Lepisosteus oculatus: one gene and its partner. The protein of the gene in region 1 interacts with the protein of each later gene in a pairwise test. Links are inferred from orthologs where the notes say so. Each region holds a gene or a part of one and is shown on either strand. Other genes may lie near its edges. The genes, in order: plekha5 and pdzd11.

Evidence for each region.
Region 2: the proteins of plekha5 (region 1) and pdzd11 interact in binary tests that used the Homo sapiens proteins (3 or more experiments, as listed by UniProt). The two-hybrid records come from large-scale screens. The link is inferred for Lepisosteus oculatus from reciprocal best matches to the Homo sapiens genes PLEKHA5 and PDZD11.

The regions. Positions count from the first base shown.
Region 1 is NC_090702.1:49,614,441-49,622,660, forward strand, and holds the start of plekha5 (pleckstrin homology domain-containing family A member 5), read left to right. Parts: upstream 1-4,448; 5' UTR 4,449-4,546; coding exon 4,547-4,638; intron 4,639-4,753; coding exon 4,754-4,830; intron 4,831-5,982; coding exon 5,983-6,040; intron 6,041-8,220.
Region 2 is NC_090703.1:49,864,668-49,873,631, reverse strand, and holds the start of pdzd11 (PDZ domain-containing protein 11), read left to right. Parts: upstream 1-5,479; 5' UTR 5,480-5,789; coding exon 5,790-5,811; intron 5,812-6,876; coding exon 6,877-7,013; intron 7,014-7,686; coding exon of another isoform or gene 7,687-7,720; coding exon 7,721-7,861; intron 7,862-7,969; coding exon 7,970-8,068; intron 8,069-8,551; coding exon 8,552-8,612; intron 8,613-8,964. Other genes in the region: arf-GAP with Rho-GAP domain, ANK repeat and PH domain-containing protein 1, read right to left, coding at 1-200, 1,285-1,367, 1,931-2,037. UniProt on the Homo sapiens protein: Mediates docking of ADAM10 to zonula adherens by interacting with PLEKHA7 which is required for PLEKHA7 to interact with the ADAM10-binding protein TSPAN33.

The DNA of each region.
Region 1 (8,220 bases):
TCTTAAGGGCGCTCCAGCCTTTTCGGATTTTAGTTGATTTCGTGCAAATGCCCCGTTTTGTCCGTCTTTATTTAAGGCGGGCACTCCCGCTACGCTTGGCTCTGCCTTGGAAGACAGACGCCCAGAAGTCTGCCTAGCATCAAGATGCCCTACATCTGCGGCGTGAGGGCTTAGGCTTTGATCGGCGTCCACACCTGCTGAGTTCCGGACTCGGAGCTCCTGGCCTCATTACTGGTTTTATCCTCCTGGTTCCCTGTCCCTGTTCCGGATTTTTACCGTGTTTGTCTCGTCTCGGATTGTATCTTCCGGCCACCTGGACTCTGGACTGCGCCCTGTTTTTCCACTTTGCACCCCCACTGGACTTGTCTGCCTGCGCCACGCCCCCTGAGCGCCAGATCACAGCCGCCACGCCCCCCTGTCTGTCTTCCCGTCCTGCTCCTGCTGTGTTTCCCTAGAAGTCTTATTCCAGTCACTTCCAGCTTCCGGATTATACCGTCTGCACAGGGTCCCAAACTATGCATTGTGACAGTTTACTGGAGGGATGGATTAAATGGTTTAGTTAAGTCTGATTCTATGAATGACTTTAGTGTGAGACTGACTCAACATATGATGCATCAGACAACTGTCATGATGGGTGAGACACTGCGAGGCAGAGACTGGAAGAGTTTAATACTTTTCCCATTGCTTCCATATTTACCTTCTTCGGTAAGCGCCGAGATTCAGAACTGAAAAGGTTTGAAAGAGAGAATGCATGTTCACATTAAGCTCACAAACCTGGGGAAAACAACTGTTTCCTAACACAGTCGGGCTCTATTGCAAGTACAGTAAGTGTCATGCTTTTCTCAGTTACCACACTATGACATCTCTGTAGTTTAGACAGTGATAAGATTATTGACAGGAAGTAACCCTCCACCAGGACTATACCCATGTAAAAGTGTGAGTACTATAATACTTCAAATTTTGCCATCAGATGTTTCATATAGGGAGGCTCAATGGTTTGCATTATTGAGCCATTATTTCATTGCTACCTTGCAGTGCTGGGGCCCTGGGTTCAATTCCGGACCTCAGCAGCTGTGCGCATACAGTTTTTATGCTCTCTTTGCGTGGGTTTCCTTTAGGTGCTCAGATTTCCTCCCGCAATCCAAAGACATACTGGTGGGTTAAATGACCTCTGGGAAAATTGGCCCTTGTGTGAATGAGTGCGTGTTTCTGTCTGTGTGTGCCCTGAACTGGACTGGCGTCTCATCCAGGGCGTAGCCCACCTTGTGCCCATTGCTTGCTGGGATATAGGCTACAGCTCCCCTGCAACCCTGTATTGGATAAAGTATTTAGAAAAAAAATGCATGTTTGATATAGTTTCTTACATTGAGTGTAAATTTAGAATACTCACAGATGATTTTATAATACTACCTTAAACGATCCCTGTTCTTATCACTGTTGGGATGTGTTTATTGCAGTTCACATCAACTTTCACCGGACGTTGCGATATCATACTGTGCAAGGAAACAGATACAGCAGATTACTGACTCCTTTATTTTGTCTTTGAATTCTGTTTGCTGTGTCGTTGTGAATAGAAGACTGATGATTTTCACATTTTTTTGCCAAGGAGAAGAACTTACTTCCCATTTTGGAAAAAAAAGAAGAAGACATTAGGAGAAAATAATTTTGCTTAAACAGCTCTTATATAATGAGTGTGTTTTATACCATGAGAAAACAATTTACTGGTGATAAACTATTGAAGGGGAACTGCAATGCTATGTTGATATTTTGGGGTTAGAAAGAATTAGCATTGATGACTGCATTTCTACCCATAATAAAGATTTAATAAACCGTAATAAAGTAAAATGTACACAGTAACTTGTAAAACCTCCAATTTACACCAGTAGATGAGATTTCCAGGTACTGTATGCACAATGCCATATTCTGCGATTCAGAAGAAGGCAACAAAAGGTCCAGTGATGTGATGAGGCCTTATTACATTGTAAATAAGCAGGCTTGTGAATACAATCCAACAGAAATATTACCCTAGAAGGTTTTGCTGCTAAATGGAACTTGTTAACTCTGAGTGCAGATCACGATGGAAACTTGATGACTTTCTGCAGTGAAATATTTGTTGCATCTCCTGTACTTACTTCACTTGTGCAACCCATTACATTAGTCAGTGACTAGGGAGAAGGAAGGGCAAATTCACATAACAATTCTCGTCAATTCTTGCTGTCGCCCGTGGTGAGACATACTTTAATTTTAGAGGGAAAGGTACAATCCAGGTGTAGATCTATTAGCATATCCCCCAGTACTGATTAAAACATCCAATGTGAAGTGATCAGGTCGTCATTAGCCTTTTGAGTTCTGGCCTCGTCCGTTGTGCTGGATCCAACAACTATCGTCTTCAACGTGGGGGTACCAATATGATGTTGTACTGAAGGAAAATATACAGTACTACAGGATACCGACGTTTTAGCTTCTGTTCTGTCCTAAACAGACTACTGTTGCAAAGTATTTCCACGAAAATGAATGGAGAATACAGTAATTGCAAGAATACGATTCAACATGCGCGTAATGCACTGTGGTTTAATGATTAATATTTAATTACGTACAAGTGATAATAAAAAAGGACAAAACTTGATGTGATAGCCTCTTCTGAATGATTTACAGAAATCAATATACAGTTAGCACGGTTAATATTGTCCCACGCGATGTCTTTACTCATTGGTAAATCTGTTTTGACTGTGTGAATTTCCACTCAGATATTCTTATACCACTTCCTGTCTTCAGCTTTTAAAATTAGATGGATCTCTTTTCCAGAGCTACAAGTTTCCCACGATGGATTGGTTTTCATGTGTCTGTCTTTTCCTGGGAAAGAGATTAAGCAATAGAAGGTCTTTGCCGCCTAAATATGCAAATACCGATCGAAGCGCTTTAAAACCTGTAAACTCGTTATAATTACATTACACGAGGACATACGAGATTGTGTTACAACATAAAATCCACAGACTTGCAATCTGAAGTGTCACTGACGATGAATACATTTCACTGGTCGTATTTATTTGATCACGGTTGTAAAACATTAAGTGACAGGCGCAAACCTGTTCATACTGCACTGTATGTTGGAACGGTAACGCTAAGTAAAATAAATGATGTAATTCATTTCCGTCCAGAATTGACTGCACTGGTGATTCTTTCATTCATATCTCTCAGCCTACACAGATCTACAGTACGTCATCCCACTGGATCAAAATACCCCCCTTTGAAGCCCGCTGCTCAGTTTTCACAAGGGAAGAAGTCAGATTGTCACCTCGATCTCTCCACACTGAAGCGATCTCTGTTCTTGTCAGAAGTGCAGAAGAATTCCTTGTCAGACGAGCTCCATAATCACCCCAGTGTCTGTTCCGCGCAGTGCAGAAGCGTGCTCGTCTTGACTGGCACAATGCAAGCAGTGCTCTCACATGGCTTTGGAGCAGGGCGCCTGCTGAAGTTGCCCTTCTAGAGAAGAGGTCAGGGGTCATAACAAAACCTTCTGGAGAGCCGCAACTGGCCCTGGGTTCAGCCGTCTTTATCTTTATTGAATGAATGCACGCCATTATCATCGTCCCGCATTGTCGTAGAAAGCTGAGAGCTGCAAACACGAGGACATTTAGAAAGAAGCAAGATGCTAATGGGACATTACAGGTTTTATGTGTATGGATTTATTGTTAAGGACAGTTCACACACACACACACCTGTAAGGTTATTTATGAGACGCCTATTTTGCGGCACCGCGTCTGATGCTTTGCATGCGTTTTCCCCTTTGCTTTTTTAATCATTTTGTGAGGGAGACCAATCCCTTCATGTTGCAAAACCCCAAGAGGGAGACGTGACGCGGACGTCATCTCAGCATTTACACATCATTACTCGGTTACCTGCTTCGAGGCGGTTGCAGTTCGTTCTCTGGAAGTCACTTGTAGAGCCTTGGTTATCTTAAAATCTAAAATCAGGTTCACGGGAACTTAATCGAGGCAATAAAAATACAATGAGTGAACCATTCCCCCCCATAAAAGCTACAGACAGCAATGTGGAGAATACTGTACCTGCCTCATGTGTATCGGGATTAGTTATCCCCTATTTATTGCAATAGGTCCTGAATATATGACAGCTCGTTTCCAGACGTGGATTCATTTTCACCCGCTGCTCACGTCTGCATAAAACATGCCTCCAGATTTCCGCATGACAGGTCGGGGTGATCGCGAATCGACCAGTCTCTCTCCCGCTTCTCCCCGCTCCACGTGCTCACCCCCTGTCTCTTTAAGCACCCAGGCGATACCTGTCAGGAAAGGCGACAAGACACACCTTCCTTGTTTACACCACCCTTTTTATTCGAGCGGGGCTGAGAAGCCGACAGCAGCGCGACCAGTGAGCCGGGAGGCTGGCGTTTCGCAAGCACGCTCCCGCCCCCCCCTCCCCTCGAGAGGTCTGCCGCGCTCGGCGCGCTCTGCCTCCGACCCCGTTGCCTGGGCTCCCGTGTCCGCGCGGCGAGGACGCGCACTTCCAGCGCTGGAGATTGCCAGACATGGCGGCGGATCTCAATCCGGAGTGGCTGTCTTGCCTCCCGTCTTCTTGGAGTTATGGGGTCACCCGGGACGGACGTGTCTTCTTCATCAAGTAAATATCGAGTGGATACAGACCTTGGGATACATAGCCCTTTCCCCGGCTTGAATGTGCAGCTCACGCTGTTTTTATACGTTGTTTCCCTTTTTTTTTTATTTCTTACCCACAGCGAACAGGCTAAGAGTACAACCTGGTTGCATCCAGTCACTGGTGAGGCCGTAATTACTGGACACAGGAAAACTCCAGGTAAATGCTGCTTTGCCGCTGGCCGGGGCGCCTTTGCTGTGCACTGGCTTTGGTGTCGCGGAGGGACCAGGGAGGGCTTTAAGTCGCGTTTCCAGGGGTCTGTCGGTCGTGTCTCCAGAGTACTGCTGGTGTTGTTTACCGGTGTTCAAACATTAGGGCAAGAAATCTCAAGTGCGGCTGTCAGTGCACCAGCAGTGCTGGAAACGCACGCTCGCTCGGTAGCAGGTAAACGTGGGAACTAGAGACCGGCCAGAAAAAAAAAAGTAGTTCGTTCGTGTCGGAGAGACCTTCAGAATTGGTTTCAGGGGGTTGTCTTGTCATGTCATTACTTTTTTTTTTTGCGGTGGTGGTTGTGTTGAACGGTGCAACCTGCCACACGCGTTATAACGTAGCGTGGGGCGATCATGGATAGTCAAAAACCAGCGCCGGGGAAAAGTTGCCCCCTCGTCGCTTGGTTATTTTTTTTGTGTGTGTGTGTGTGCAGGCGGACTTTTGGTAGCAATCGGGTAGCGATCGCAGGTCGAGGAAGACGCCGCCGGGCGAGCGTGTTGTAGCTCGGTCAGGTAGCTGGAGCGAAGCGGGGGTGCGGCGGCGCTGGCGATGTGAGAGAGGCGCTATAAAAAAAAATAAAATAAAAATAAAATAAATGATCAAACCACGGGGAGCCCGAGACGCGAGGTCTTGCTTACAAATGAGCCTACGGCGTGTCGAGTCGGTGGACCCGCTGATTTCCCCCTAAAGGAAAGAGAGGAAAAAGGAGGAATTTCACAAATACTGTCCTGCGACGCGTGTGTTTGTTGCTGTTGACACGGAGCCGTGCGAGGAACAGGCTCTTATAAAATAGCATTACCCCCGCGTTTAAAAGCCCCGTACGCCCGTTCGCTCCGCGTAAAGGTTGTGCAGTTGTGGGGAAAAAAATGCGATGAGAAATGATCAGCCTGCTCCTCCGGTAGCGGTCTCGCCGGTTGTGTTATCACCGCTGGTGCTGCAGTACAGCGGGAGCGGTGGAAAACAGCCCAGTGACCCACTAATGGCACTGCGCATCGCTCCGCAGAGCAGGACAGCGCCTGCAGGTCACCAGCATCTGTCTCTCCCTGCTCTGTAAAGTTATAAAGTGTTTTTTTTTTTCTCTCCTTCTTCTGTTTTACTTAGACTTGCCCACTGGCTGGGAAGAAGGATTCACGTTCGAGGGAGCTCGGTGCTTCATAAAGTGAGTTGGCATCCACCCGCGAACAGCCGCCCGTGTTTAAAAAGCTGCGGAGTTTGGCGTCGTGCTTTTTGACACTTGGTGACTCTCGGAAAAGCGCCCCCCTCTCCCCTTTCCTCTACTGTCTGCCCTCTTTCCCTTTTGGGATGTTTGTAAAATCTCCCCCCCCCCCCCTTGGTGCTTTGCAAGGAGAGAGGGAAAAGTGCAGAAAACGAGGTATCTCTCCCAGAGCTCACCTTTACTGTCAGACTGAGCTCTAGTTTTGGAAGTCGGTGTGACTCAGCCCCCTCTCGGTTGAACAGGCTTGACTTGTATGACAGCACACCTCCTTCGGGACAGAACATCAGGTCTCTAGTTTGTACACGTTATTTCAGAGCCTTGGGTTTTTATATATATTCAAAAGCAGTGGATTTTGCCGTCACACTGCTGAAAGGTGATCTGGGCTGCAGAGACTTCAAATGCAAGCCTGAGTTTCTCTAAATGCTCTCTTTGGAGGAGAACGTCCCTGCTGATGGGTGCTGTGCATTTGCCCTGCATTGAAAGTGGTAAAAGTGGTTTTTTTTCATGCATCGGTGTTAAAGTCCGTATGGGGTGTTTGTTTTTTGGAGATGCTATGTGAAGCCATTTCTGTCTGGTGGTGAAGGAATGAACAGAAACAATTTCTTTCTCTTTTGAGTGTGGTGGATTTAGCCTTAGAATGTAGAGGAACAACTGGTGCAAAAAAAAAAAAGCTTTCTCCTCCCTGAAATGAGATAGGTTTAGTTATTTACTAGTTTAAATATGTTTAATGGAGGGCTATACAAATGGAAATGAGCATGCCAGAGATAATAGATTGTATGTTGTCCCTAGGCTGTTTTATGAAGGAAATATATTTGCTTTTTGCCAAGACCGATTATTGTGTCATTATTTTGTGTTTAGCTTTGGAAACACTTCAGCTCTTTATCAGTGATTCATTCATTCACACAAAGGATGCTTCCATGTCACACTCTGAGTTTTGTGGTGGAAATGATGTTAAGATGCACTATTCATTCTGTGCCATTTTTGGACAGCTGATAAAACATGATTTTTTTTTAAATTCGTAATTAGAGTGCACAATGGTGTCGGAGCCTAAGCTGAAGTTTATATGGTGTGAAGAGGTAGAGTGCAAGGTTGGGCTGTCAGTCGAGTTCTTTTTATCTTGTATGCATTTAAAAAAACATTATATAGGGTTCATGCACACCTGTCAATATAATATTAAATACACTCATCAAGATTCTTCATATTTAATATGATTTGAGCCTTTTGCATTCTGGAGAGTGATTTTAAAATGTACTGTACCTGTCATCTTGAAGACAAAAGTCACTTTTTAGAGGAAGGCGTTTGGCCCATCTATCCTGTTTGATATTTAGAGGCCTAGTGATCCAGGAATCTCATCCAGCTGTTTCTTGAAGGGTGTCAGGGTGTCGACTTCATCAAAGTGACTGGGCAGCTTGTTCCAGCATCTCTTTGTGTAAAAAGCATAAAGACGTGCCTCCTGTCCTGCTTGAGGGATCTCATTCATCTTGTTCTTGAAAGAACCCATGGTGCTGGCTTCAACAACAACAACTGCGGGGCTTTTTCTGACTTCTTGTTCTTGGGGAATATGTGTTTTTCAAACTGTATTAAAAATCATTAGTAGAATCATTAATCATTAGAGTTCACAAGGTCACATTTTGTGACCAGTTTGATCTTTTTAGGAAGAAACTTTTAGAAATCTTCAGCTAAATTTTGGTAAAAGACTATATCACATTAAACCATCCTAATAAGCAGCAATATGTAATATTATCATTATGGGTGTATATAAATCTTTTAAATACACTCTATGCTTGACTCTTCTGAAACTGTTTTTAAATCTACATTGAATAGGTGTTAATCTTCGGCTTTTTATGTATTGTTTTGCCTGAATTTCTCCAATAAGTCATTCTCTTTGTACTGAAAGTATATAATAGAAAGTTTCCTATTTTGAATTCTTCATTGTTATATATTGGTGTATCGGATCAAAAGCCCTCACACTGTGTCTATAGTTTGGTTTGGAGATATTACCTTGTCTGTCTAATTTGCATCAGTCAATAATGAGGTAATTTTCAGCATAATTTCTTGTATCTTTAAGTCCTTGTAAGTTGTGTATAAGTCGCACAGTGGTAGCTTTGCATGAGTCTTTTAGG
Region 2 (8,964 bases), on another chromosome or scaffold:
TGCTGGGAGGGCAGGCCAGACAAACACTCCCTGAGCGCTGTGCTGTCTTTGAGATTTCATGGGAAAGCCATTATTGGACTCATCAGGAGCTTCAGTGAAGACATGGCTCGTCTTTAGCTCAGGTTTGTGGGATACATTAAGGAATAATTTGGAATCATTGTTTTCTTCTTGCCCCAAAGAATTCCACTTCCTTAAGTTTCCTAAAACCACAGATGAATATAAAAATAAAAATATCAGGTTACTAGGAACAAACAGACCTATCAACAAGCAAGGTACAGTAGCAATCGTACATTGTCCATGTGGTATATTTCCTATCTAGAATGTCAAATGTCATAATGTCATATTGTTAATGTTTCATAGCAGGGCTGAACCACAGACCAGCTGAGGAGCAATTTTGTGGAACAAATACTCAAATGCTGAACTGATACTTTGTCAAAGCCTTCCTTGTCTGGCCGAAAAGGAAAGAGGTGTCTCAGTCAACTGCCTTGAAGACATTGCAACACAGATATGAATAAAAGTTGCTCGTCTTGTCTAACTAGCTAAAATCAGAAGTTCTTCCACACTTTCCAAGGCCAACCAGGGAAGCAGGAAGGAGCTACAACTGTTGTTTCTGGGCACTGAAATCAATAAATAAAAATAATCATAAATTGAAATTAGGTTCAATTTCAGACATTCAGACCAGACATTCCTCCTGGTATGATTACTAAGAGAACAGAAGTTACTGAAAGCTACAGTACCCATGTTCATAAAAGCAGGGGTGTTTTTACACCAGTATTACAGTTGAGTTTCTCTATGTTTACGCAGTCTGCTCTCCCAGGTTTTCCAATTTAATGTAATTGGTGGAGCTGTTTGTCAGCTGTTAATCTTGCTTAACCATCTATTGTCAGTGATTAAATATCAATCACAAAAATACAGAGCACATGCCCCCAGCTATTTATTTTTAAGGGGGACATTGGTTCATTCATAAAAGTATGCAAAACACAAAGAGTTGTGGGAGTCTGGAATCAGGTACTCGTACGAATGTCAGAAAGCACTGCCATGCACCTGGGCTCAAATCACCTAAGAAAAAGTACATAAGGCAGACAGGCCAAATGACCCCTGTCATTTTCAAACAATCTTATGCCTGTCTACTCTTTCCTGGTTAGGTGTCTTCTCCTTTGAAAAGTGGACTTTCAATCCAAAATAATTGTTTTGGCCCACTTCAGCTCTCCTCAGCGCAGGAGGGGCAACTCTTTTGACATCCTCCAGGCTCCTTCACCATCCGGGCATCCTCCGTCATCTCACCTGTCCTCGGGGGCTGCCGCTCACTCTCTGGCTCAGCCTGCGAATTTGCTGTCTCAGAATCCAGTATGTTATTTGATGACATCCTGCAAGAGACACGAACCCGTAAGGATTAGACCGATACTCTAACGACGTCTCAACAACACTGGGAGCTACAGCAGGAAGCTTCTCTACAGTACGTTTCCCAGGTATTGGTGAAGAAGTGACATTTGAATATACTTTATATCAGTTTAATGTGTAAAAAATGGCACTTTTAAACAGGCCACGCTTCATTTGTATTCAGAACAAGATATAACTGTAACTGTTCAGGTAGGGAGCTGCGTCAGCATGCGTAGGCTGCAAAGGAACAATATACTATAATAGGTTTATTCCATGCTGAAAAAAAGAAGAAAGAGAACACAACGTTTCGGCCGTGGAGCCTTCTTCAGGAGCCTTCTTCTCCACCTGAAGAAGGCTCCACGGCCGAAACGTTGTGTTCTCTTTCTTCTTTTTTTCAGCATGGAATAAACCTATTACTTGTTCCATAACTGTAACTGTTCCTTTTTTTCTGTTGGAAATGGCTCCGTCTCTTCTCAGCCCCCATCCCGAAGTTGAAGCTGTCTAGCCTGACAGGCGAATCCACTCTTCGGCGATCGAACGTCTCACTCACCTCCTGGGAACAGGGGGAGGGGCTGGTGTGCTTTCCACGGACCAAGTGTATCTGGCCCGAGGTTTGGGAACCGGGGGGGTCACCTCACTGTCAACGGGGGCTGACATCCTGGCCAGATCCCGACTGCGACTGGAAGAGCAAGAGAAGGACAGTCCGGACAGGCAGCGAGGAGAAATCGCGTTTCGGCTGCCAGCGGGGCAGGAAAGGCAGGGGAGTTCCTGGCCGTGTCACTGGATGAAACAAGACCCGCCCCTCCGCACGGCCTTCCCCCAGGCAGGTCCAGCTGTCAGCCTGTGACAGGACCTAACAGCCAGCAGCTCTGCAACACACAACTGGCTACACGCTGAAGCTCAGCAACCCACACGCTGCAGCGAGCAAACACTAAGAGCAACAAGCCACTGGAGCCAGTACCCGGAGGGGAGACACCTGGGAAATCTGAGGTTGCTGCTGGAAGAGGTGTTACTGGAACCAGCAGGGGGCGCTCACCCTGCGGTCTGTGTGGGTCCTAAAGCCCCAGTATACTGACGGGGACACTCTACTGTAAAAAGACAGTGATGAGACATAAAACTGAGCTCTTGACTCTGTGGTCATTAAAAAAAAGCGTAGGGTTGTTAGCCCAGTGTCCTGGCCAGACTCCTCCCCTGGCCCTTAAAAATCATGGCCTCCTAATAATCCCCATCCCTGAACTGGCTTCATCACTGCTCTCCTCGCCACTGAGAGCTGGTGTGTGGGGAAAGGACTGGTTTACTCTGGCTGCCGTCGCATCATCCAGGTGGGGCTGCACAGTGTGTCCAGAAAAGCACTATACAAGTGTAAGGAATTATTTTTAGGATTTCATTTACACCAACATGTAAGGGGGAAAAACACATTTTGAGGCACTTAGGAATATGACTGGAGAAGAAAAAGAGTCTGACTAGATTGGTACTTTCCAGGACCTGGACTGAGTCTCTTGCCATAATATAACTGACTTACTTTCATGCTCTGCAGCTCAATGTATATTTACTTATGAAAAAAAGAAGTTACATTAGTTAACCGCATGGTGCCTATTTTAATCCATTTTTACATAATGCTTGCTCACTTCAGTCATAAATGCCATCTGTAGATAAAAGCCTTCCAAAATAGTCCTGCCTATATCATTGGCATAACAGTGCACAGGATGGCAAAGAGTTAACAGTATTTTTTGTTGATGTTTTCTAGGGGGTTCAGGCTGAGGTTTGTTATCTGAGTATAAAGATTCAAGCGTTTTGCGCTGTCACTGCACAGTTCTTATCAGGTATTTGGTTGCAAAACAACACAGATCTGTGCCAATGCATTTCCCCAAACTTATTTTGCTGCCTGTGTGTCTATTTTCCCGGTATGTATTTTCATGTAAATGTATCAGATTGGTGCATTGGTGGGGTTTCAGGGGTTCAGTATTCTTGGGGTTCCAAAAATTAAAGCAACTATACCATCAAGCCACACACGGGTCACACGATCCATGCCGATAAAAAGTGCCTATCTCAATGCCTAGTCATCGTAATGCTTGAGTCTGACTTGCGGTTTTCAAAGTAAGATACGACAGCTTAAATAAGTAAGAGGGAACAAACATACTGAGCTGAATATTTCCCTAGAAAAGCATTTGCTTTCATTAACTGGGTCTATCAAAACAACTGAGGTAAATGCAGGAGGGTATTAAAATATCAAACTCAACGCGCGTAAACGGTGGGTACTTACAAACCCCAACACTTTAATTTCCAAACACGCGGTTAATTTCCAGACTCCACGCACGACTTTCTCTGCTCGGGCTTCAAACTGACAAATGCCCCTTTCCCCGCTTTCCAGTCCAACACAGGTGCAGCTAGATCTACCGGAGATCCTCTGGGCCGCTCGTCCGTCTCAGGAAGGACGACAGGAGCAGCCGTCAGACGCTCTCGGGTCCTAACGTGGGGAAGGATGAGGCGAGGGAGGGAGCCATGCCTACCTTCTCGCGGCTCCTGGGCTTCGGGGTTCTGTCCTGCGCAGCGAAGTCACCCCGTTTCCGTGACTGTAGTGGGTCTGGGCTCGCGGCTGGTCGCGTCACCGGCTGATTCACCCGTTCGACCGGTTTCGGCGACTCGGCAGCGCTGACACGATGCACGCCCCTGACGTGAACAAAAAAAAAACTATCAATAAACAAACAAGTATCTTCTGCCCGAGAAAATCTAATTGTTTCCTGGATATGCTCATGATTCATAGGCGTTTAGGTGTCAAAAATGAAACGGACAGCCCCAGTTCCGTACTGTAGATTACGATAGTAATGTAGTTCAGGTGGGGAGCTGCGTCAGCATGCGTAGGCTGCAAAGGGACACGTTAATAGGTTTATTCCATGCTGAAAAGAGAAGAGAGGAAACACAACGTTTCGTCTGTGAAGCTTTCTTCGTGTGTGTTGAAGAAGGCTTCACAGCCGAAACGTTGTGTTTTCTCTCTTCTTTTTTTCAGCATGGAATAAACCTATACTTACGATAGTAATGAACACTGTAAGGGCTGGTTTCATTACGACGGCTCTAGAGGTGATAATCTAAATAGCATGACAAGGCAGACCAAGATGACAGCTAACCGCTGTCTGTGAAAACAAGAGTGTTTGCACATAGACTACGTGGAAAATTCTACGGTACTGAAAAAAACAACATAGATATATATACTGTAAAACATTTATGTGAGCATATTTTTATAAATGTAAAAATACGGTACGTGGTAGATTTGTGAACTATTTTTTTTACTTTGAAGAAAGAACGGTAGCGATGATGAAATATTCGACCTAAACGTGGCATAAACGCCTTTTACAGTTATTTTACCCCTGGCGTTTACCAGTCATGGCCTCCCCATGATCCCCATCTCCGAACTGGTTTCATCCCCCTGCTCTCCTCCCCACTGAGAGCTGGTGTGTGGGCAGAGGACTGGTGCATCATCCAGGTGGGGCTGCACACTGGTGGCGGAGGGGAGTCCTTTGAGTGGAGTGTCCAGAAAGCGCGATATACTGTAAGTGTAAAGAATTATTATTATTATTATTATTATTATTATTATTATTATTATTATTATTGTTCTCAGTATTGAAGACTAAAAAGGTTCAGTTCAAAAGTCAGAATGTCAGTTTAGGTAAATTACTTCAGCCTAGAAATATATGTGGGTATTCTTTTCTGGACTGATTCCAGAGTAACAAAATATTTTCCGATGTAGTGGCCATAATTCCCCAAACTCTTGGGGATTCTTGCTTTGCGCCGTAATGCCCAACATATTCTCTCAATCACTCAGCTGTGACGGACCGCACGGGGGCAGGCGCTTCCAGTCATGTGACAGTGGAGGCCGGTCAGCTGACGAGGGAGGGGGTGGGCGTGGCATGGACTGAGGCTGGCAGGGAGCGACTTGACTTCCGCTTGGTGAGATCGGAATTTTCCAACCTGTAATGTTATATAACCCAAACTGTAAGATCGCCGCGGTTTGATTTCCCTGCTCGCAGATGAGGAGTGAATGGGTTTAGTGTAGCGTGTAGCACCTGAATCAGGTAAACAGGACGTACTGATTTAAGGCTTAGGTTCAGGGACACCCGCTGCCTGATGTTTTTTAGTAGGCATGAACCACCCGATAGCTCTTGGAATTTCAAACTGATATTTACCCTGCGCGCAGAGCGGCGAGGGTGATTTGTGTATAAAACGGTGTCATCTGTTACAGTTAAAGACGGTTTTGTCGACTAGGAAATATAATGCGTTCGTAGCTTCGGCTTAGTCCTTGCTCATTCTTTAATACGGAACCGACCCTTCGCGGTGGCTGTCCGCGACAGATGCTTTATTTCACTCAGATGTAATGTCAACACGCAGAACTCCCTCTTCTGAGCGGCCGCTAAATGTTCATCTGCTCACCCCCAGGTGAAGGATACAAGCAGCGTTCTTCTCGTTATGACACGGTTCAGTGAAAAGTATTTTGATGAACAAGATCTCCCATGTATCTCTCCTGCATGTCTTTCAATTTCTCACCCGATTCCGCGACTTTGAAACTTTTTTTTTGGGTGTGTGAAAACTGGCGATAAATGATTTTACAGCAGGGTGGTTAAACGACTTGCGCAACTGATCTAAGGGATGTTGTTTTAAAGTGCGGTAGGCAAAATTAATTTCAGGGAGTGAATCCGGTAGTGCAGGTAGAATCATGTCATTCTTAACGTTGTTTTCCGCAGGAAATTTGCCTGACGTGTTTTCCTTCAAGGTGTGCTTCGTGACTACGATTCAGAAATGACTATATCTCCGAATTTACAAAAAAGAGACCGGGGAAAATATAGAGCGTAATAAACAGTACATTTCAATTTACGCTTGTGTAGATATTAACGATGGAAAAAGTTCTAAATCATTTTACAATAAAAAGAGTACAATAAAAAACACATAGAATTCAAGAATCACCGCTAACAACAATAACATTTGATCAGTTCAAATTGTGCATGCAGATGGAAAGACAAAAATGTCTTGAGATTAGCTTAAAAATAGCAATGGTGTGAGAAAGCAGACACATTTTGAGCAGGAGTTTCCTGTGATCTGGGTATAGACAGAGAGGGCTTAGGAGACAGACCAGAGCCCAGCTGCTGCAGAGTTCTGAGCAGACTGAGGACGAGTAGAATTAACATGGGTTCCTGGAACAGCGGAATCTAATCCTTTATCCTCTTGTTTTAAATGCAGGTTCTTATTGCAGTTTGTTTATTTGTCTGCAGTCTGTTTTAAATGCAGTTTGTTTTATTGGCTGAATATTAATTCCAAACATGCACTGAGGGCCTTCTGCTTTCCTACAATATCATTCACAGTTATTGTTATAACCTTGTCCAGCAGCTTTTGATTACTGTTCAAAGGGGCAGTGTTCCAGTGTGTTTCGAGTACTGTGCACATGGCTAGTTTGCTTGTTCCAGACACCCACAACCCTCTGTGTAAAGAGGTTCCTCCTGTTCGCAGTCCTCAGAGCCTCGGTGTTGTGGCTTGTGACGGGTGTGGCACTCATGGACCAGAAGATTCCCTACGATGACTATCAGCTCCCGGTGGTCTTCCTGCCTTCATATGAAAACCCCCCAGCATGGATACCCCCACAGGAGGTATTTTCAGGGACTTGATGTCCCACAGCCCCTGCAGTGTCTAGCAGTCTGTCTTTTACACATCAGACTTTCTTTAGCTTGCTTTTGGTTAAGGTGTTAAGGGTTTGAGGTTGAAAATGGTTGTGATTAAACATTTGCCTTCAGGTGGTCTTCCAGAATTTTGACTTGTGTTCTAGTTTTACATGGGTGTGTCGGAAACCTGCCATGAGAATATTTGAAGCACAGGGACAGCAATTATACAGCTATTCACACCCTTGTGCATCTCAGCTGAATATCACAGACTTTCTCTTTCATTATTACCAGTTGTTCTACTTTTTATTCAAGTTTGCATTCGGCTTGACACACTAGTTTTCAGCTAGTAGACCCGCTTAACAAGATATACAATATTACAAAAAATACAAATGACAGTAAATGAATACAGTTCATCCAGTGCGGGGGTGGCCAGCCCAGGTCTCAGAGAGCTGAGGTCAATCGTGGGAACTCGGAAGACCCTGTGGCTTTCCAGGCCCGCAGGTGCAAATTCCTGATTTAATTGATCCAATTAACTGGCCGGGCGACGTGACCCTCAGAAGCCGGTGCTGTCAGGTCAGGTCAGGTCAGGTCAGGGTGAGCTCTGGGGGGCCAGCCCTGCTCCAGTGAAGCCTGTGTGGTCCTGCTCTGTGTGCCGGCCCAGTGCCTACAGAATCCTCCTGCCGTCCCCTCCCCAGCGGATCCACCACCACGACTACAACAACGAGCTGTCGCAGTTTCTGCCGCGGACCATCGTCCTGAAGAAGCCTCCGGGGGCGCAGCTGGGCTTCAACATCCGCGGGGGGAAAGCCTCCCAGCTGGGCATCTTCATCTCCAAGGTGGGCCCCCGGCTCTGCGCTGTTGGGATGGCAGCCCCGTCGTAGCTTGACAGACCCCTCTCCCCCTCGGTGCTGACGGGCCGGTCCCTTCTCTCTGTGCGCCGGCAGGTGGTGCCCGACTCGGATGCCCACAGGGCGGGGCTGCAGGAGGGGGACCAGGTGCTGTGTGTGAACGACGTCGACTTTCAGGACATCGAGCACTCGAGGGTGAGCCTGCCAGCGCGGCCCCTGCGCTCTTCCTGACTGGGGCTCGTGCTCCGCTCAGAGCCCTTAAGACCTTCTCACGGGAGGAGCTTCGGGTCCCTGTGAACACCGGCCACCGGAGTGGCTCAGTATCCGCGCTGCCGGGGTGTATGAGCTCATGGTGCTCGAGTCTGCGTGCTGTGGAAGGTGCGCTGCACCTCCAGCTTTGTGCTGGCTGATCGCCCTCTTGCGCAGTGATTTTTTTCTTGCGCTTCGCACATAATGTCATCACTGTAACCCAGATGCCCCTGGGCGTCTGCTCAGCAATAAGAATCATCCTGCCAGTACTATGGGTTATGGCTGCAGTTTGGCTCGTGCCGCTGTTATGGGTCTGGGCTGGCAGGAGGAGTGAAGCCCTGTGCTGTGTTAACGCTTTCAGTGTATCAGTGTTCAGGATTATGGTTTTTCATACTTATTCTGCCCTTTTTTTCCCCTTGCCTCCCCCAGGCTGTGGAGATTCTGAAAACTGCCAGAGAGATCCTGATGAGGGTGCGCTTCTTCCCCTACAGTGAGTACGGCTCTCGCGCCCCTCTCCCAGTAGCAGCCTGTCAGTGGCTTTGCTTGCTTTCGTTTCTGTTTATCACCAGTGCACGCTGAATTTGAAACCTTTTCACTTTCACAACAAAATTGGGCAAAAAAGAGCCCTCCAGCCTCACCAGCCTGAATGTTCAGTGCTTCACGGCCTCTGCTGCTGGCTGATGAACAGATCTTCAAGCGTGTGTCCTGCAGGTGGGCAGAACGGAATGGTTTGCATGCGTCGTTATCCAGCCCCAGCGGAATGACACGAGCCCGGCCTGCAGTGAGAGGGGGACGCGGAGCAGGTTTTTCTCCCGTCCTCCAGACACGCAGAGGGGGAAGAC